Linked DNA regions of Schizosaccharomyces pombe. The gene in region 1 interacts genetically with each later gene. Each region holds a gene or a part of one and is shown in the gene's direction. Other genes may lie near its edges. The genes, in order: caa1, gcn20, kap114 and SPOM_SPAC644.09.

The links.
Region 2: mutations in caa1 (region 1) and gcn20 together harm fitness more than expected from each alone (negative genetic interaction), as found in Schizosaccharomyces pombe (one large-scale study listed by BioGRID).
Region 3: mutations in caa1 (region 1) and kap114 together harm fitness more than expected from each alone (negative genetic interaction), as found in Schizosaccharomyces pombe (one large-scale study listed by BioGRID).
Region 4: mutations in caa1 (region 1) and SPOM_SPAC644.09 together harm fitness more than expected from each alone (negative genetic interaction), as found in Schizosaccharomyces pombe (one large-scale study listed by BioGRID).

The regions. Positions count from the first base shown.
Region 1 is NC_003424.3:1,230,128-1,233,908, reverse strand, and holds caa1 (aspartate aminotransferase), read left to right. Parts: upstream 1-1,869; 5' UTR 1,870-1,891; coding exon 1,892-3,121; 3' UTR 3,122-3,269; downstream 3,270-3,781. Other genes in the region: SPOM_SPAC10F6.14C (ABC1 kinase family protein), read left to right, coding at 1-1,593. UniProt on the Schizosaccharomyces pombe protein: Plays a key role in amino acid metabolism.
Region 2 is NC_003423.3:2,053,623-2,058,449, reverse strand, and holds gcn20 (AAA family ATPase Gcn20), read left to right. Parts: upstream 1-2,007; 5' UTR 2,008-2,025; coding exon 2,026-4,236; 3' UTR 4,237-4,309; downstream 4,310-4,827. Other genes in the region: ort1 (carboxylic acid transporter), read left to right, coding at 1-187; atp14 (F1-ATPase subunit H), read left to right, coding at 848-862, 910-955, 1,004-1,039, 1,092-1,282, 1,329-1,352.
Region 3 is NC_003424.3:2,372,547-2,378,243, reverse strand, and holds kap114 (karyopherin/importin beta family nuclear import signal receptor Kap14), read left to right. Parts: upstream 1-1,691; 5' UTR 1,692-1,858; coding exon 1,859-1,964; intron 1,965-2,020; coding exon 2,021-4,242; intron 4,243-4,282; coding exon 4,283-4,452; intron 4,453-4,473; exon of another isoform or gene 4,474-4,499; coding exon 4,500-4,618; exon of another isoform or gene 4,619-4,660; coding exon 4,661-4,831; exon of another isoform or gene 4,832-4,867; coding exon 4,868-4,941; exon of another isoform or gene 4,942-4,980; coding exon 4,981-5,100; 3' UTR 5,101-5,192; downstream 5,193-5,697. Other genes in the region: ppa3 (protein phosphatase type 2A), read right to left, coding at 1-479, 592-662, 729-889. UniProt on the Schizosaccharomyces pombe protein: Required for nuclear protein import and mediates docking of import substrate to distinct nucleoporins. Serves a receptor for nuclear localization signals. Mediates the nuclear import of TATA-binding protein (TBP) and of histones H2A and H2B.
Region 4 is NC_003424.3:2,687,586-2,691,620, forward strand, and holds SPOM_SPAC644.09 (pyridoxal phosphate homeostasis protein), read left to right. Parts: upstream 1-2,058; 5' UTR 2,059-2,117; coding exon 2,118-2,186; exon of another isoform or gene 2,187-2,466; intron 2,467-2,567; coding exon 2,568-2,687; exon of another isoform or gene 2,688-2,822; coding exon 2,823-3,158; exon of another isoform or gene 3,159-3,218; coding exon 3,219-3,407; 3' UTR 3,408-3,535; downstream 3,536-4,035. Other genes in the region: bcs1 (iron-sulfur protein assembly ATPase), read left to right, coding at 1-170; utr4 (methionine salvage haloacid dehalogenase-like hydrolase), read left to right, coding at 610-678, 732-1,313; mediator complex subunit Med11, read left to right, coding at 3,879-4,035. UniProt on the Schizosaccharomyces pombe protein: Pyridoxal 5'-phosphate (PLP)-binding protein, which may be involved in intracellular homeostatic regulation of pyridoxal 5'-phosphate (PLP), the active form of vitamin B6.

The DNA.
Region 1 (3,781 bases):
AGAACAATTTCTCTACTGCAGAAAACTACCAGTCGCTTCATTAAGCGATCAAAGACATATGCTGATGTACGTTATAACAGTCAAGCATTGCAAAATCATGGAGTTCCTGGTAACAAACGTAAATGGATGAAGAGGTTCGTATTTGTTGGTGCTGCTGGAATAGGTGTCTACGCTTGGGATCGAGTGTATAATGCCCATGCACTTACCCGTAGTATTAGAACAGTATACACCGCTTCTATAATTGCGGCTGACTATAAGTTGAATTTCAGCGAAAAAAAGGCAGACAAAATTGATGCTTTGCACCAAAGAGTAGCACAGAGACTGTTTAAAACGATTTACAAAAATGGCGGTTTATACATCAAGATGGGTCAAATCATTGCTATGCAATCAAATAATTTGCCTGAAGCGTATGGGAAAGCCTTTCAGGGAATGTTTGACAATGCACCTCAAGTTGAATGGGAAGAACTTCAAGACATATTCAAAGAGCAATATGGAAGACCAGTAGAGGAAGTATTTGCCAGCATTGAGAAACGTGCTGCTGCAAGTGCCAGTATTGCGCAGGTACATCGTGCTGTTTTACCTAGCGGTGAAAAGGTCGCGGTAAAAATTCAAAAACCAGATGTTGCTAAGCAAATGTCGTGGGATCTTCTCGTGTACAAATACATGATGTATGTTTATGATAAATGGATATTTCATATCCCTCTCTACTTTACGGTTGATTATGTCTCGGAAAGATTACGTTCTGAGGTTGATTTTACAACTGAAGCTAACAATTCGGAACATGCTCGTGAAGGGGTAGAAGAAACTGATTATTTAAGAGATAAGATATATATACCAAAGGTTTATAAAGAGATTTCTGGAAAGCGAGTAATGGTTACTGAATGGGCTGATGGCATTCCCCTCTATGATCAAACTGCTCTTTCTGAAGCTGGGATGAGCAAAAAGGAAATTTTAACGAACCTTTTCAGATTCCTTGCCTTCCAAATGTTTCATTCGAAACAAGTTCATTGTGATCCACATCCTGGAAATATCCTTGTTCGAAAAAATCAAGCAGGCTTGTGTCAAACGGTAATTTTGGATCATGGGTTATATGTATTTGAATCAGAAAAGTTTAGAAAAGAATTTGCCTTGCTTTTCACTGCAGCCTATTCATTAGACAAAAAATCTATTCTTCAGGTAATGGATGCTTGGGGGATTGGACAACCTGAGCTTTTTGCTAACCGCATGTTAAATATTCCAATGGATGAAGAGCAACCTCACACTGGTGAAAAAATTATTTCAAAGAAAGAGGCCTTCCAACAGCAGCTTGCTGAACGCAAAAAGTTCATTGGCTTCTTACAGGACTGCACTCGTTTACCGAAAGAGCTGTTAATGCTAGGTCGCTGCTTAATGCTTATTCAAAAAAATAACCAAAATTTTGGGTATCCAGTGAATAGTATAGCTGTTATGGCCAAGGTTGCTGATAAATACACTACCGACAAACCTAGTCCAACTTGGTATCAACGGCTGTTGTCGCCTATTTTTTGGGTCTTTCAACATTTATTTTACCCTGGAAATTTTCGGTTGCCTGAACTTACTAATGATAAAAAATGATATTTATAGTAAAGATTACTTTTCTTTATGGAAAGCCAATCTTTGACCATAATAATATAACTTCACATATTGCCTACTTTTCTCGATAAGACACTTCAGAGCTCCTCCTTGTAAAAGTTAAGCTCCTCCCTATACGAGTCAAACTTTGTATCGTTATTCACTATTACAGTACATCAAGCTCGGTATCTTATATGTCAATGAAGTATACTGATAATATAGTGATACTAAACCGAGTGATAAATATATATATATAGTAGATCAGTAAGGTTGAAATCTACCTACCGCATATTTAACCACAATGTCAGACTACGGGTTTGCAAATATTGAGGAAGCTAAGGCAGATGCAATTTTTAAATTAAATGCTCAATACCATCAGGATGAAGATCCCAAGAAGGTTAACATGAGTGTTGGCGCCTATCGTGACGATACTGGTAAGCCTTGGATTTTGCCTGCAGTTAAAAAAGCATCTAAAATAGTGGAAGAACAGGCAAGCTTCAACCATGAATATTTACCAATTGCTGGATTGCCTCGTTTCACTAAGGCTGCGGCTGAAGTTCTTTTCAGACCCAATCCTCATTTATTGTCCGAGGACCGTGTTGCATCTATGCAGTCAGTCTCTGGTACTGGTGCCAATTTTCTTGCTGCTAGTTTCATTGAGACTTTCTATGTAAAGCACACTGGAGCCCATGTATACATCTCCAACCCTACTTGGCCTGTCCATCGCACTTTGTGGGAAAAATTGGGAGTCACTGTAGATACATATCCTTATTGGGATGCCAAGAATAGATCTTTTGATTACGAAGGCATGCTAAGTACCATTAAATCTGCTCCCGAAGGAAGTATATTTTTACTTCATGCTTGTGCTCACAATCCTACTGGTATTGACCCCACTAGGGAACAATGGCTTTCTATATTCGAGAGTCTGCTTTCTCGCAAGCATCTGGTAGTTTTTGACATTGCTTATCAAGGTTTTGCCAGTGGTGATCTGAATCGTGACTCTTGGGCTCTAAACGAGTTTGTCAAATATAACAAGGACTTTTTCGTTTGTCAGTCATTTGCTAAAAATATGGGTCTTTATGGTGAACGTACTGGTTGCATGCATTACGTTGCAAAGGACGCTTCCACTAAAAACAAGGTCTTATCTCAATTGTGTATTGTTCAACGTAACACCATTTCTAACCCTCCCGCTTACGGTGCACGTATTGCTGCCGAAATTCTTAACAGTCCTCAATTGTTTGCTGAATGGGAACAAGATTTAAAGACTATGTCTTCTAGAATCATTGAGATGAGGAAACGTCTTCGCGATTCTCTTGTTGCACTCAAAACCCCCGGTTCTTGGGATCATATTACACAACAAATTGGAATGTTTTCTTTTACCGGTTTAACGCCTGCACAAGTCCAATTTTGCCAGGAGCGGTACCATCTTTATTTCAGTGCAAATGGTCGTATTTCTATGGCTGGTTTGAACAATTCTAATGTAGAGCATGTTGCACAGGCATTTAACCATGCTGTTCGCGAGTTGCCTTAAACTGATTATTAATACCAAAGTCACATAGATAAGTATTGGATTCATGAATACAGAATTTTGGATTGTTGTAAATTTGACGAATTTAGGAACAAATTCTTTAGCAATTTAGAGAACTAGTATATGCATTTATTCTTTGAATTTTTGAATAATATGAAGTTATCTGTTCAACTCATACACCGGGACTTCTCCTTTGTGAGTTAGACATCAGTATTTGGCTCATTATTTGCAAAACAAGTTGATATCAGTTTGTAATCGGATATGTTTAGACAAAACTGAGAAAGAGTTCTTTTTTAATAATTCATAACTTGCAAATTGATTAATGACAGAGTATTTGAATTCTTTGTTATATCGAGGTTTACTACATTAATATAATACAACTTTTAGCAACTATTAGAGCCAATACAAAGAAAAGAAGTCAAAACTTAAGTAATACAATATGAGTATGATTTTCTTTGTTTTACTTCCCTATTGTGTCAACTATAATTTTAAGCAGGAAATTTTGAAAATATCCTAATAACTCGAAAACCAGGCTAAAGCAAGGAATATCCCTCTTTGCATAAATTTTATTTCTTCTCGTGTCTTTCCTCCAATAATTAATAATTATAACATCTCTAAATGTGTATGAGTTAGTTTGTTAGGACATTTTGACTCAATAATTCT
Region 2 (4,827 bases), on another chromosome or scaffold:
TACAGCCAAATCCATTGTACAAAGAAATACACTCTTATCAATTAAAACCCCTTTGTCTTCCATTCCTTGGTTATCGTTTACTATATATCGAGGTATAGGTATTTCATTGATGCGAAGCGCTCTTATAAATTCTTGCAATTTTACGCTTTTTGAATTATTTCGGGAAACTAAAGTATTAAGCAAATAGTTTTATTCTAGTTTTACGAAGTCTTTGTTGTCCATTGAGTCGATAACCCGTCGGAATGCATTTCTATACATATTTTAACTTGCATTCGACTTGCGGTTGAAGTTTAATCACATTTTAGAACTGGTTTTGTCGTATATATTTAAAGTCCCATGGAATACTTTTACAATTTTTTTGATGCTATTTATTTTTTATTAAAAGCATTTTTACCTTCAAAAACTCCCCTCTCATCACTTTTCATATCATGTGCTGCTGTTAGTTTGACAGTAATTCCACTGAACTTGTTATACATTTCACGAGTTAACCGTTTCAATCTGAAAGTATATTTTCTTTTCCTCTTTTCCCTGTTTTTTTTTGTTTTGTTTTGCTTTTTACGTCCTGTTTTGGTTAATCCAACTCTTTCAATATCTGTATGTACCTACGCTTTTTTTTCTTGTATAGTTGAATTTTGTTTTGTAGATTTTTGGTAGAGGTGTAAATTGGATGAAATTTTTGAGACTAATAGTCCTTCTATTTCAGCGATTGTTTATTTGGGCATTTAAAACTTTAGCTATTAGATTTAGTATGTTTAATGTACTTTCGGACAATGCTGGCTTTCTTACTCAATACATGCTACCTAAGTGAGTTACCACTACCATCCACATATATTGTGAAGGAAGAACAATGTCTCGAATTTTGGTACGTTATACATTGCTTTTTTTAAGAATTTAGGAGCTAATATATAGAAATCACTAAGTCGTAGTTATTCGACCACCTCCCCTCGTCTTTACGGTATGAAATGACATTTTGATTTTGATGAGATTACTAATGGCAATTTAGTCGATGTAGTACAGGGTTTATATATTTCTTCTTTAAGTATGTTATTATATTCTCTTAATTTACCAATTTCTTACACGTCGTGTCTTAGAATCATATAAGCCTAAAGCTGTCCCTTCCGAAACGGCAGCTGAAGTAAAGGAATGGTCCATGCCTAGCGCTCCTACTGCTCCAAAATACGATGTTGACTTTACTTCTGCTTTAAACTCTTACAAGTATGAGGGAGAAACCATTCCCACTAAGGCTGCTGGAGAAAGCAACAAATTTGACTTTCTTGAATCAGTATGTATCTCTTCCTTTACATTGCATCAGCTAACTTTTCCTTCAGTATGAGAATGAAAAAGAACATTAAATTTATTCACTGCTTTTCCTATGCTCAATTGGAAGATGTTTGGTAATTAACTTTGATTAAATTTTGCCTTTTATTTTCCGATTATGAATTTACATTTTCATCTACGTCGTTGAGATTTGATTTTATATCTATTTCATGCCTTTGTCTGATCCTTCTTTTGATTGACCACGAACGTGGATGTATCTCTATAACTCCCGTCTCACTATGATTTATATTCTAGGTTAACGTATCCTTTTTCTGCTTTCTAAATGTCTTTGAACATAGCTGAATTCAATGCTTAGTCGTCTCTTCGATTACGGCACGAAACAGTTGTTGCCTTGATTGATAGAAAACCACTTTCATTGAGTTGAGATGTTTTTCTCTTTGCAAAGTATTTCTATTGAGTTCACATTTGGATTTTTTTTTTCAATTTATATCAACTCAATACAATTGCTTTTATTCAACAATAAGGATTAGCTTGATAAAATTTGATGTCTACTGTGGGTCATTAAAAATATCAGTAAAGTTCACAGTAGTTTTCTTGGAATTGTAATTTTTTTTCTTAAAAAAATATATAATTCACTATTATAAGGTATTTAGTATATTTTCATGCCTAGTCTCATCGTTTTGCCGATTGAGGCTTCATATATAGCAGTAGTATAACTTGCTTAGTACTATCCACCTCACATCCAACATGGAGCAAGTCATTCAGAATAATTGCTCTGAAGTAGACCCTCATGTCCTCAGCTACTGCACTGGATATGCTAATGATGCTATTAAAGATGTAGATGAGGCTTCAGACCATACGATCTCTCTCATTCGTAATTTATTGCTAGATGCTGGCGCTCGTGAGGAAGCGGTACAGCTCATACAAAACGAACTAGAGAAACAATTTAAAGAAAGAGAGGAACATCTAGATACATTACAAACGAATGGACTTGTTCGTTTGAAGGAGACTATTCGAATGGATTCCCAATCCGAAATTTCGTCAACTATGGGTTTGGTTGGCGAAAAGATGGAATTAGATGCTGTAAAGGGCCGTAAGGTTGAATCTAGGGTAGATAGAAGAAAATTAGAGAAGGCTGAACGGAAGATTCGTGCCAAATGGGAGAAACGTACTATCAAAGCAGAATACGAATCTTCAAAGTTGGTTCAACCCGAACAAAAGTCTTATGAAGAGTTTTACATGGCTGTAAATCCTCTAGATTTATCCGGAAGTAACCAAGGAAAATCGAAAGATATTAAAATTGATGGAATTGATCTTGCTTTTGCTGGTCATCGTATATTGACTGGTGCTTCGTTGACACTTGCACAGGGTAGACGATACGGTTTAACTGGTCGCAACGGTATCGGTAAATCTACTCTTCTACGTGCTCTTTCTCGCCGTGAAATTGCGATTCCTACCCATATTACCATTCTTCATGTTGAGCAAGAAATGACAGGTGATGATACACCTGCCCTACAGTCAGTTTTGGATGCCGATGTTTGGCGCAAGTATTTGATTCAGGACCAGGAAAAGATAACTAATCGTCTATCAACGATTGAAAAAGAATTGGAAGAACTTAGTAAAGACCAAACTGCTGATCAAGCTATTTCCCGTCGCCTTGAGCGTGAACGAGACGAACTTGATTTACGGTTGTTAGATATTCAAAATAAGCTTTCCGAGATGGACTCTGATAGAGCAGAATCACGCGCTGCTACTATTTTAGCTGGTCTTGGATTTACTCAAGAAATGCAAAGCCATGCTACCAAGACTTTTTCAGGTGGTTGGCGTATGCGTTTGTCATTGGCACGTGCTCTGTTTTGTCAACCAGATTTACTACTTTTGGATGAACCTTCGAACATGCTTGACGTTCCCTCAATTGCTTTCTTATCTGAATATTTACAAACTTATAAAAATATCGTTTTAGTCGTTTCACACGATCGTTCTTTCTTGAATGAAGTTGCTACTGATATTATTCATCAACACTCTGAGCGCTTGGATTACTATAAGGGTAATTTTAGTCAATTCTATGCTACTCGTGAAGAACGTTGCAAAAATCAACTTCGTGAATATGAAAAGCAAATGGAATACCGCAAACATTTGCAATCATTCATTGACAAATTTCGTTATAATGCTGCCAAATCATCCGAAGCACAAAGTCGTATTAAGAAGTTGGAAAAACTGCCGATCCTTGAAAAGCCTCAAACTGAGGAAGAAGTTGAGTTTGAATTTCCACCTGTGGAAAAAATATCTCCTCCTATCTTACAAATGTCTGATGTCAATTTTGAGTATGTTCCAGGTCACCCTATTCTCAAACATGTTGATATTGATGTTCAAATGGATTCTCGTATCGGTGTGGTTGGTCCCAACGGTGCTGGTAAATCAACAATGCTTAAGCTTCTTATCGAACAACTTCATCCAACATCTGGTATAGTTAGTCGGCACCCCCGACTTCGTATTGCATACTTTGCACAACATCATGTCGATACTTTGGACTTAAACTTGAATGCCTTAAGCTTTTTAGCTAAGACATTTCCTGGCAAAGGTGAAGAAGAATACCGTCGTCATCTTGGCGCTTTTGGTGTTAGTGGACCTCTTGCATTGCAAAAAATGATCACGCTTTCTGGTGGTCAGAAATCTCGTGTTGCGTTCGCATGCCTAGGTCTACAAAACCCTCACATTCTTATTCTAGATGAACCCACCAACCATCTGGATATGGAGTCCATGGATGCCTTGACAAGAGCTGTTAAACGCTTCCAAGGTGGTGTGATTCTTGTTTCTCACGATGTTGATTTCTTGGACAAGACATGTACCAGTATTTGGCAGTGTGACCATAATGTCGTCTCCAAGTTTGATGGAACAATTTCACAATATAAGAAATTCTGTCTATCTCAACAGCCAACCATGACTATAAAAACTTAATGGAATAGCATAGACTTAAATAATAATAATATAGCTGGCGAGGATAAATAAAATCAAATTCTTTTATCTATGAATCTGGATAAAATATGTAAACGAAGTTAACTACATTTTATACAGTAAAAGACATGAAGTGTTAAATAAGATTAAAACAGTAAATTAATTATAGCTAAGTAAGTCATAACACGGTAATGGACAAGAAACCTGGAAAGCATGCAAATCATCAACCAACACCCAAAAAATAAAGAGAACAAACCCAATCAATTAAAAAGTAAAGAGGAGGAAGGGGAGAAGAGGAGAAAATAAGGCGGACCAAGGAAATCAATAGCAGAAAAAAAAAGAATATACAGACTAGTAAACAAAAAAAGAAAGAGAAAGGAAAAAGTTAACTCATTAAATTCGTTTAGGAACTTGACTAGAAAACCTCGAAGGATTTGGAAAAAAGGACATGGGAAAAGACGTAGGGCGAGAGATTGATGGAGAGGAGGAAGATGAAGGTTGAGTTTTGACGGCGTTGAACGATTTAAAATTCTGAGAGGTGAAAGACTTTGGAGGAAGAGGAATGGACGGATAGGTATTAGAGGTTAAAGGACG
Region 3 (5,697 bases), 1.1 Mb from region 1:
TTGATGAGCTCGTAAGATGTGCTTCATATTGTTGTATTCTAGAAATTTTGTTACAATAACTTCACCGAAAGAAAAACCTGCACCACGGGGCGAAAGTGAAAATTCTTGCACGCTAGGATCCGGATCCGACCACACGAGATCGGCCATAGGTCCCTCGTGTGGGAATTCTCTAAACCTGTCTAAGACAAGGATTTGATCTATGTGCTGAATACTAGGAGAAAGTCCACCATGAACACAAAAAATAGTGTCATCAATTGTTGCAGAAAGTGTTAGGAAATCAAAGATATCGGTAAAATATTTCCAAACATTAGCATTACCGTATTTTCTTAAGCATTCTGAATAAAATCCATAGGTTTGGGTTATTCCTCTGGACTCATGGTTTCCGCGCAAAAGAGTAATCCTCTTTGGATACCGTAACTTGAGACATATCAAAAGGGTTATAGTTTCTATACTATAATAGCCCCGATCAACATAATCACCTTCAAATAGTTAGCAACGAATAATAAAGCATGTGCTGTGTTCTCAATGTTCAGTTTTAATGATTTGTAGTAATCAGCTAATGTGATTCTAATGAACATCATTTTAACTTACCGAGAAAAAGATAGTTTGTGTATGGGCATGGGCCTCCTATACGAAAGATTTCAAGTAGATCATCAAATTGGCTATATACTTTGTAAGCAGAATGTCCACAAAGAATGAACTTTTTGCAATATTGAATCTATGCATACCCATGAATATCACCAACCACGGTAATGGGAGTAGACAACCTGACAACATTGCTTTCTTGCATTAAAACTTCCTTTGCGAGAGAACAAAGATAAGCAATAACGGACTCAGCAATCAATTGTTTTTCATATAATCTCTCTATTATGTTATCGAGGTCAATCATCTTTAGGAATTTCCGTGAAACTAGTGAGATTTATTAAAATACAAAAACAATGTCTTGCACCGTTTTGTATTGGATATATATAATTTAAGAAGACACAAACAGTGCTTGGCTAGGGAAAATTTCACCCAAGGTTTGTATCAGTCTAATCGGCTTTGACCGGATACGCTTCGAAAAACAAAGGATTAAGCACTTCTTATATGGAAAGCTTACGCGTTACTTCTCTTTATTTGCACGCATTAGAAAAATTCCACTAAAATGTTGTATGTGTCAGTTTTATGAAATTTGGAGGTTGGTTTCTGACTTGTCAGTGATCGAAACTACACGATTAATACATAATACTGTGTAGTTCGCCAATGAGATTTTAAGTTAAGAAAGCCTCTAATGGTATACCCAAAGAACAAAAATTACATAATGCTTGAAAAACGTGTTAAAATTCTTTCAGACATTCTATATGAATATCTGTCTCTTCTGCTGAAAAGGTTTAGTGCTTCTCTCGTTTCAGACCATCAGATAAATATTTCGGTTGAAAATAAGCGATAATTGATTAGGTATATTCTTGTATTCAAAGATCAGTCGGTCATTAAAAAACTCAGTTATGCAATACATTAAAATATAAGGAAAATCAAGAATGAAAATAGTAATAGTTACATGGCCTTTCTTTTTAATTTTTTTTTTAAATGAACAACAATACAAGCAATTATTGTTTCAATTAACACTATTTTGTTAGACATTAGCAATTTAAGTGACAATGTCACCTATTTACCATCCACTTCTTTGAACATGAATTTCCTAGTAACATTTCACTCTTAGTAGTACCTGCATTATACCTGCATAAAAAATTATTAAATACAGCCATTTTTAAGGGGTTAACTATACCCGTCTGTACATAAATATATTTATTATTATCTACTTTCTTTAAGCAGATAGCATCAAAACCTACCAATTGTTTAACGTCTATTATCACGCTAAATGGTTGAAAGCAAAATCATTAAGCTGCTTGAACAAGTGCAATCTGCTGATCCTAATTCAAGAATACAAGCCGAATTGGGGTTACGAGACCTTGAGAAATATCACGGTATGCTACTTAAGCTATAAACTAACCGAAAAAATTACTAACTATCTTTTACGAAGATTTTGCTGCGAAGTTAACAGATATCGCATCTTCTGGTGCTTCTGTTCCTTTAAGACAAGGTTCTCTCATTTATTTACAAAGATATATTGTTCACCATTGGTCTCCACTGTTTGAGCAATTTCAAGATGGACCGATACCCGATGAAAATGTCAAAAAACATGTCAGAGAAACACTATTACATCTTTTAGTGAGCCTTGACAATTTCACTTTAATCAAGGCTGTGGCATATGCTGTTTCTCTAATTGCAAACGTGGATTATCCCGATGAATGGCCAGAAGTTGTACCGGCCGTTCTGCATCTTTTACAATCTACTAATGAAAACTCTATTAATGCTTCACTGGATGTTCTGGACGAGCTTGTAGATGAGTCCCTTGTTGAAGAACAGTTCTTTATTATTGCACCTCAACTTGCATCCATTCTCTATCAGTTTATATTTTCCGCTCCCCCTAATGATTCCATGAGGATGTTGCAAGCTAGAGGAATTAAACTGTTTCGTTCTTGCCTAGAACTTATTGAGATTTATAAAGAAACGAAAGCTGAACATGTTCGTGTATTTCTTGAACAAATACTTCCCCCTTGGATGGATATGTTCTCGCACAAGTTTGAAGTTTCCCTCGTTGATGATCGACAAGTTATTTTACCTGATTCCTGTGGTTATTTTTGTATCATGGGAGAAATTGCTATGACTCTTACAAAACTTCGCGAATTGTTTCCTTCTAAATTGACACCGTACGTTGTGACCTTCGTCGAACTTGTTTGGAATATTATAGAAAAGTTACTAGATCCATATATACGAGAAGTTGTTTTTAGCGATGGTTTAGATGATTCAGCATTTGGTGATAAATACCCTATTCGTTATTTAGTTGAACTACTGCTATTCGTTTCTGTAGCTTTGCAAAGCAAGTTTGTTCAAAACTTGTTTGTCAGTAATACGGTCCCCGTACCTCCTTTACCTCCTTGCATTCCACTTCTGGTGCAATATACGCAACTACCTAAGCATCAAATTGAAGTATATGAAAGCGATGTCAGTGAATATATCGCAAACGAATTTTCTATGGATTTTGCTAGTGATACGGTTCGCGGTGCCGCCATCAGCGTACTAAGTGCATTTGAAGAGCATACCACTTTACCAATCCAGCAAAGTCTACGAGAAATGTCCGCGACTTACATATTAAACAATGAAATCAATTGGATATATCAAGAAGCCCTCTTGTATGCATGTTGTTCCGTGGATGCTGCTTCAGATGACACTTATGATGATTACTTGGACCCCATATACGAGGCTATCAAAGTCCGTATTGATTACTCCGATGCTCCAATTTTACTTCTTTCTAGGTTTTTCCTCTTTATCGGATATTTCTCTGAAAGCACCGTAGTAGCCTCTCAATTTTTCCAAATAATAATGAATAATTTGGTTAATGCTTTACAAGTTGATACTGTACAGTATGCTGCTATGAAAGCTATTGAGCGCTTTTGTTCAGTCGGAAAAGTCAAACCGATACTTTCTTTGCAGCCGATGATTTTGGAAGTTCTTTCTCAGTATGCTTCGAAGTCAAGCGATGAAGCTCTTGTATTACTTGTGGAAGCTATTTCTTCTGCGGTAAAACTTGATTGTGCAAAGGCTGCTGAATTAGGTAATTCTGTTATTCCACTTCTATTTAATTTGGTTGCTACGAACGCTTCTGATCCTTACATCTGTGGAATTATTGAAGACACCTTTGAGGACATTATCCATGCGGCAAATAACTATGAAAGTATGTGTGAAATTACTTTGCCAGAACTATTACAGGTCCTGAATCAAGAAGACCCGATTATGGTTAATATTGGGGCTACCTTGCTTTCTTGTTTGATTCGTGCAGGTCCTTCACCACTTCCTAATGGATTTGTTGGATATGTCTTGCCCCCTGTTTATAAGATTACTCAAATTCATTCTGGAGACACAGAACTGCTTCAGTTATCTCAGGAAATTCTTAAGGGGCTTTTGGAAAAGGACACACCACAATTATTGGAAACGGAGATTTCAGGTAGTAGTGGCTTTCAATACATTCTTTTTATTTTGCATCAGTTACTTGACAAAGAGAGTGATGATTCCGCCTGCTTTTTAGTTGGGCCTATCTTACTTGAATTGGCTGATCACGCAAGTCAAATGGTCGATCTTCAGTCCATTCTTCTTTCTTGCATTAAGAGATTGGCAATAGCTGAACAACCACGGTTTATTCAAGTAAGTTCTTATTGAATACCTGTTTCTGACTTTTATTTAGAGTATAATTTACGTTTTTGCCAAATTAATTGTTAAGGACTCTTTGGGAATGATGCACTTCTTGACATCGTCTTTATTAAATGAACAAGGGCTAACGGCTTTTGAAGTACTTATGACCGTTTGGTGTGACAACTTTGTTTATTTTAGCAACTTCAAAAACATTTCTATAATGTATGTCCTTATATTATTTGATGCTTATATAAATTCTAACCTGAAAGTTGTATTGCTATGACTAAAATTTATTCTTTTGACAGTCCTCTACTTGATTCAGTTCAAGTTAAAGGTGAACTTATCTCTCATTCTAATCGCATTATAACCCGGTCGCAGTCTAAACTTCGTATGTTAAAAGCTTTTGATAGTTTTCATTAACCAAAACTAGATCCCGAGGAATATTCATATGTAAGCGTTGGAGAAAAAATATTGCGACTACTTTCAGAGGAATTTGTTTCGTTGTCTAAAGATGCAATTGTTGAAGAAGTTTCCGATGATGGAGCGGATGATTGGGATGACGGTCCTATCAGTGCAGAGACGTTTGGGCTATCAGCTAATGGTACGCGAGACCTTTAAAAGAAAAGGCTAACAATAGATGTTAACGAATTGTCCAAAGATGAATTTTCTGGCGTAGACAATTCAGAAGATGAGGATAATACTGATTTGCAGGTGGGTTAAAGTTTTGGTTTTTAGGGCTAACATTTTTAGTTTTATCTTCTAGAGTTTTTTAAGGAAGCTATGAAAAGCAATCTGCACAATATCAACGAGGTTGTTTTTAGACTACCTCAGGAAGAACAGGATGCGCTCGTTCAAATTAAAGAAAAATAAAGGTGTAAAGGATTTAAAAAATCAAGAATACCTGAACGATTTCCAATAGTTTACTTGCACTATAACATTTACTAATATCATGTGCATTAAAAGGAAAGTAGGGTAAAATTATACCTTTCAGAGTACTTAAGGCTCTAGGTATAAGGTCAAAAGGATTATTTAAGCTGAAAGGGACTAAAGTATATGAAGAATAAAGTTGGTAAATTAATTCTTTCAAAAGATACATTTTTTAAATTAAAATAAACAGACAAACTTAGTTCATTATAAACATAAAAACAAGGTTATATAATACCAATAATTACCATTTTATTGGAGAGAGTATGATGGTAATTATTAACAAAGTGCAGATAAACGAGCATGAAATAAGGTCTTATCTGGAGATTAATATGGCACAAGTAAATGAGCATTTCAATATGAAAATAATTAAGACTGAAAAAGAACAAAATTAGGTAAATCGGCATTAAAATATGCCACCGTATATCTATGCAAAAATTCAAGAAACACCAGGTCAGCAAGCTACCGAAAGGTAAAAGTCACAAAAAGGAACGGGATTATTTCGTAAAATCAAGGGAATCCATAGTCAAAAGAAAACTAAAA
Region 4 (4,035 bases), 1.5 Mb from region 1:
TAAGTGATATAGTGTGTCCAAAAAATACAAGTATGGCTTCATTGCAGGGTCTTTTTGTAATGAATAAGAGCTCACCTGCTGATGCTGTTGATATGGCTAAAGAGCTTCCTGATAATCCTCCTAGTACACCTTTCTCCTTTAACGTACACAGAAAGTCTTTGTCTGTATGAAATCCCTTAGATTTATTTAACTTAAAATGTTATTCGTTTCGTAATAAGCTCTACTTATCAATCTTGACCACAAAAAAAAGACATCTTGGTAGAAACATATATTGTACGCGATTAATCTATGAATAATTAATGAATTTAAAAAATGGTTAAAAAATAACTAGTCCGTATTTTCTATTCTAAAAGACAGGCATGCATAAGATAATTATTCAAATGCATGTTCTCAATAAAAAGCTGCAAGCTGTTGAAATTCTTTTTCCATATGTTTAAGAAAGTAAAATCCAATAAAATTCCAATTGTAATCTTAAATTATTTTACGTGATGCATAGCTGAATTCGCAAAGTACTAATCCTACTTACTGCACATCTTACTTCTTTAAAGTTGCATAAAACTTGTGTCCTAAAAGAAAAGTGAGTTGTACGGCATCTCTTTATTACAAAAAATGGTTAAAAATTTGCTCTTGGATATTGAAGGGACTGTGGGTAGCATTTCATTTGTCAAAGACAAATTGGTAAGTGAAGTTTTTTATTGAGAACAATGTAGATCGTGTTTAACCCATGCTAGTTTCCATACGCTGCTTCAAGATACGAAAGTTATGTTAATGAAAATTATGAAAGTGATGAAAACTTGCGAGAACTTGGAAAAACGCCTGAAGAGGCCTTGATAAATTTACGAAAGTTGCATGCTGAAGGAAGCAAAGAACGTTCCTTCAAAATGGTCCAAGGTCGTATTTGGAAAAAAGGTTATGAAAGTAATGAACTAACTTCACACTTGTTCCCCGATGTTGTTCCTGCTATTCAACGTAGTTTGCAATTGGGAATGCGTGTTTACATTTACTCCAGTGGGAGTGTTCCAGCTCAGAAATTGTATTTCGAGCATTCAGATGCTGGAAACCTTCTAAAGTATTTCTCTGGATATTACGATACTACTATAGGGCTTAAAACTGAGTGTGGCAGTTATGTGAAAATTGTGGGAAACTCAAATCCTAGAGAATGGCTCTTCTTGAGTGACAATATCAACGAGTTGAAAGCTGCAAGAAAAGTCGGGTTGCACACCGGTTTGGTGGTTCGTCCTGGCAATGATCCTGTTGTAGACACCAGTGGATTCCCCGTGTACAATAGTTTTGAAATTTTGTTCACGGAATAAAGCAATGGTGAACCCTAACGACCGTTTCGCTTAGAACAAAGTAATGAGTTTCTTTAAAGGACATGAGTTCTTTAAAAGAATTTTGATTCTCTTGTGCTCTCATTTTCTATTTCTTTGTGTTTTTTTTTTCATGATTTCTTTGAATACATCCGAAAATTAGTCAACGCAATTTCTTCTCTTAAAATATATTGAATTATTATAATTTTTTTAACCCAATGGATTTTTGAATTGTTTCAGAAACCTTTTTTAACTATGAAACTTTTTTACCATGATTGAATATTTGTATCAATTATCTAAACATTGAGTAAAACACTCTTGTAAACTCTCCATTCGTTCAATCAACTATTTGAACTGAATTTTTTTTTTTTTTTTGATAAAATAGAAAAAGAGCGTTCTTGTTTAATATTTTCCTCTCCTGTGTACTCATTGTAAAGAAGAGAGGTTTGTCAATCAACATGGGTTACAATTCGTCGGTTTTGTAGCCAAATTAACATTAATCCTTTATTAGTGATTTCTTTTTAAATGTTTCTTAGCCATTAATGTTTATTTATTTACTTGTTTCTGTGACATATAATATCATTACCCCCATTTGGTACCTCTTCCTCCCACTTTGATCAGCAATTACTCTCTGTAAGCTTCTCCAGGTTAATAAAGTCAAGAAGAGACTATAGCTATACCCCCATATAGTACTCTTTATCCCACATTTTGTATCACTCAAAATCAATTTCAACTAAGAGACCTAAGCAGAGTAATTTAACTGTCAGGTGGATTTGACTAAGAAAGTAGTAATAGCTTTCATTCAACATGAGTACTATCCATAGCTGTTTAGATTTAATTAGAAGTCAAATCCAGCAATCTGCAAATGGCCGCAATGTAAGTTTGTATGAGTGATTTTGGTTGTTTTTTCGGGTACTTGGTAAAATTGAATTTCGGATGTCTGATCTCCAGGCGAATAAAGTCATACTGCTCAGCTAATAAGCTTCGTGAAAGATTTATTTAACTCGACGATATAATACTTTATTTTTAGGCTTATAATATTTAAGGAAATGATGCTTCGCCGAGAATAAAATGTTGCAAAGATATCTTCGATTAAAATGGGTTTATCTGAAATAGCGTTGTTTATGTCAGCTGAGGTGAAGGAAAAGATCTAAAAAAATGAATATTTTCACTTTTACATTTTTGGGATTCCCTAAAAATCTTCCAATTTCGCCTGCTGCTTTATCCATCACTAACAATTGCCTTAATGGCTTTTAGGTTCTTCTTGTAGCTGTTAGCAAGTTTCATCCTGTTGAAACCTTGATGGAAGCGTACAATGCTGGTCAAAGGCACTTTGGCGAGAATTACATGCAAGAATTTCTAAAGAAAGTAGAGTTGGTAAGTGCTAGAATGTATTATGTGTTTTCGGTAATCTATTTTTTGATGCCTACCATCTTTAAAAACACTTTTTTAAGTTAGATAATAAGTGGTTCTCATTGTTTATTTCCATTCACAAGGCTAACAGTGCCATAGATGCCCGACGACGTCCAATGGCATTTTATCGGTAGTTTACAGTCATCTAAGTGCAAGAAAATTGCATCTGTAAAAAACTTGTACAGTATTGAAACCATTGATACTGAAAAGAAGGCTCGTTTGGTAAACAGCGCTCGTGAGGCATTACAACTACCCTTAAATGTCTATATTCAAGTAAATACCAGTGGTGAGGAGAACAAGGGAGGAGTTACTCCGTCTAAAGTTCTTGAACTCTGTAAGCAAGTTCAAGACATGAAATATTTGCGACTCAAAGGCCTCATGACTATTGGCTCTATTTCCAATTCTCAATTATCTGATCACAACCCAGATTTCCAGGTAAGATTATTTCCTTTTTCTTCCTTTTTATTCATCTTTGCTCTTCCTAACGCAGTACAGGTTCTTTCAGATCTTCGTGAGTCTTTGCAAAATGAGCTCGGTATCCCTTTACAATTGTCTATGGGAATGAGTTCTGATTATCTCCTTGCTATAAAATATGGAAGCGACTCTGTTCGTGTTGGCAGTTCCATATTTGGTTCTCGTCCGACAGAAAAGCCATCAGATGTTCACATATCTGCATCGAAATGAGTTCGGATGTAGAGTTATAGATAAAAAATGCAATTTTGGCTATCCTTTTTCATTTAAAATATATTATTTTATTTTTTGCTTCTTTAATGATGATGTTACTAGATATTTGAAAATAAATACATTTTTCTAAATTTTTTAAAGTCTCGGTTTGCAATTCTATAAATTTTTAGCAAATTTAGAGATAATATTATAATTAAGGAAAAAATTGTACCAATATATATGACCAATTAATCCTAATACGTTCATTTACAACATGGCTAAGATTCGAGTGCAAGCACTTACTTCACAGCACTACACTTTTCTCTAATATCTTTTCATTTATTTTGGCTATTGGAAATTGTGGACGCAGGCGCAATCGTTCCATTAATAAATCAAACTAATTATTAAAGAATAGACGGGAATGTACGATTGAGAGTGAATACTGGATATTTAATAAATCTCTCAATAACATAAATTATCAAAATTTGAACGATGACTAATAGTGACGACGATCTTTTTAGTGAAAAATCAACATCTTCTGATACTCAGCAAGTACAAAATATCCTCGAACTTGAAGCAAAGATCCCCGACATTTTATCTTCAGCTGGAAAATGCATTGAAGCCATTCAACTAAATAATTCTCTTGAGG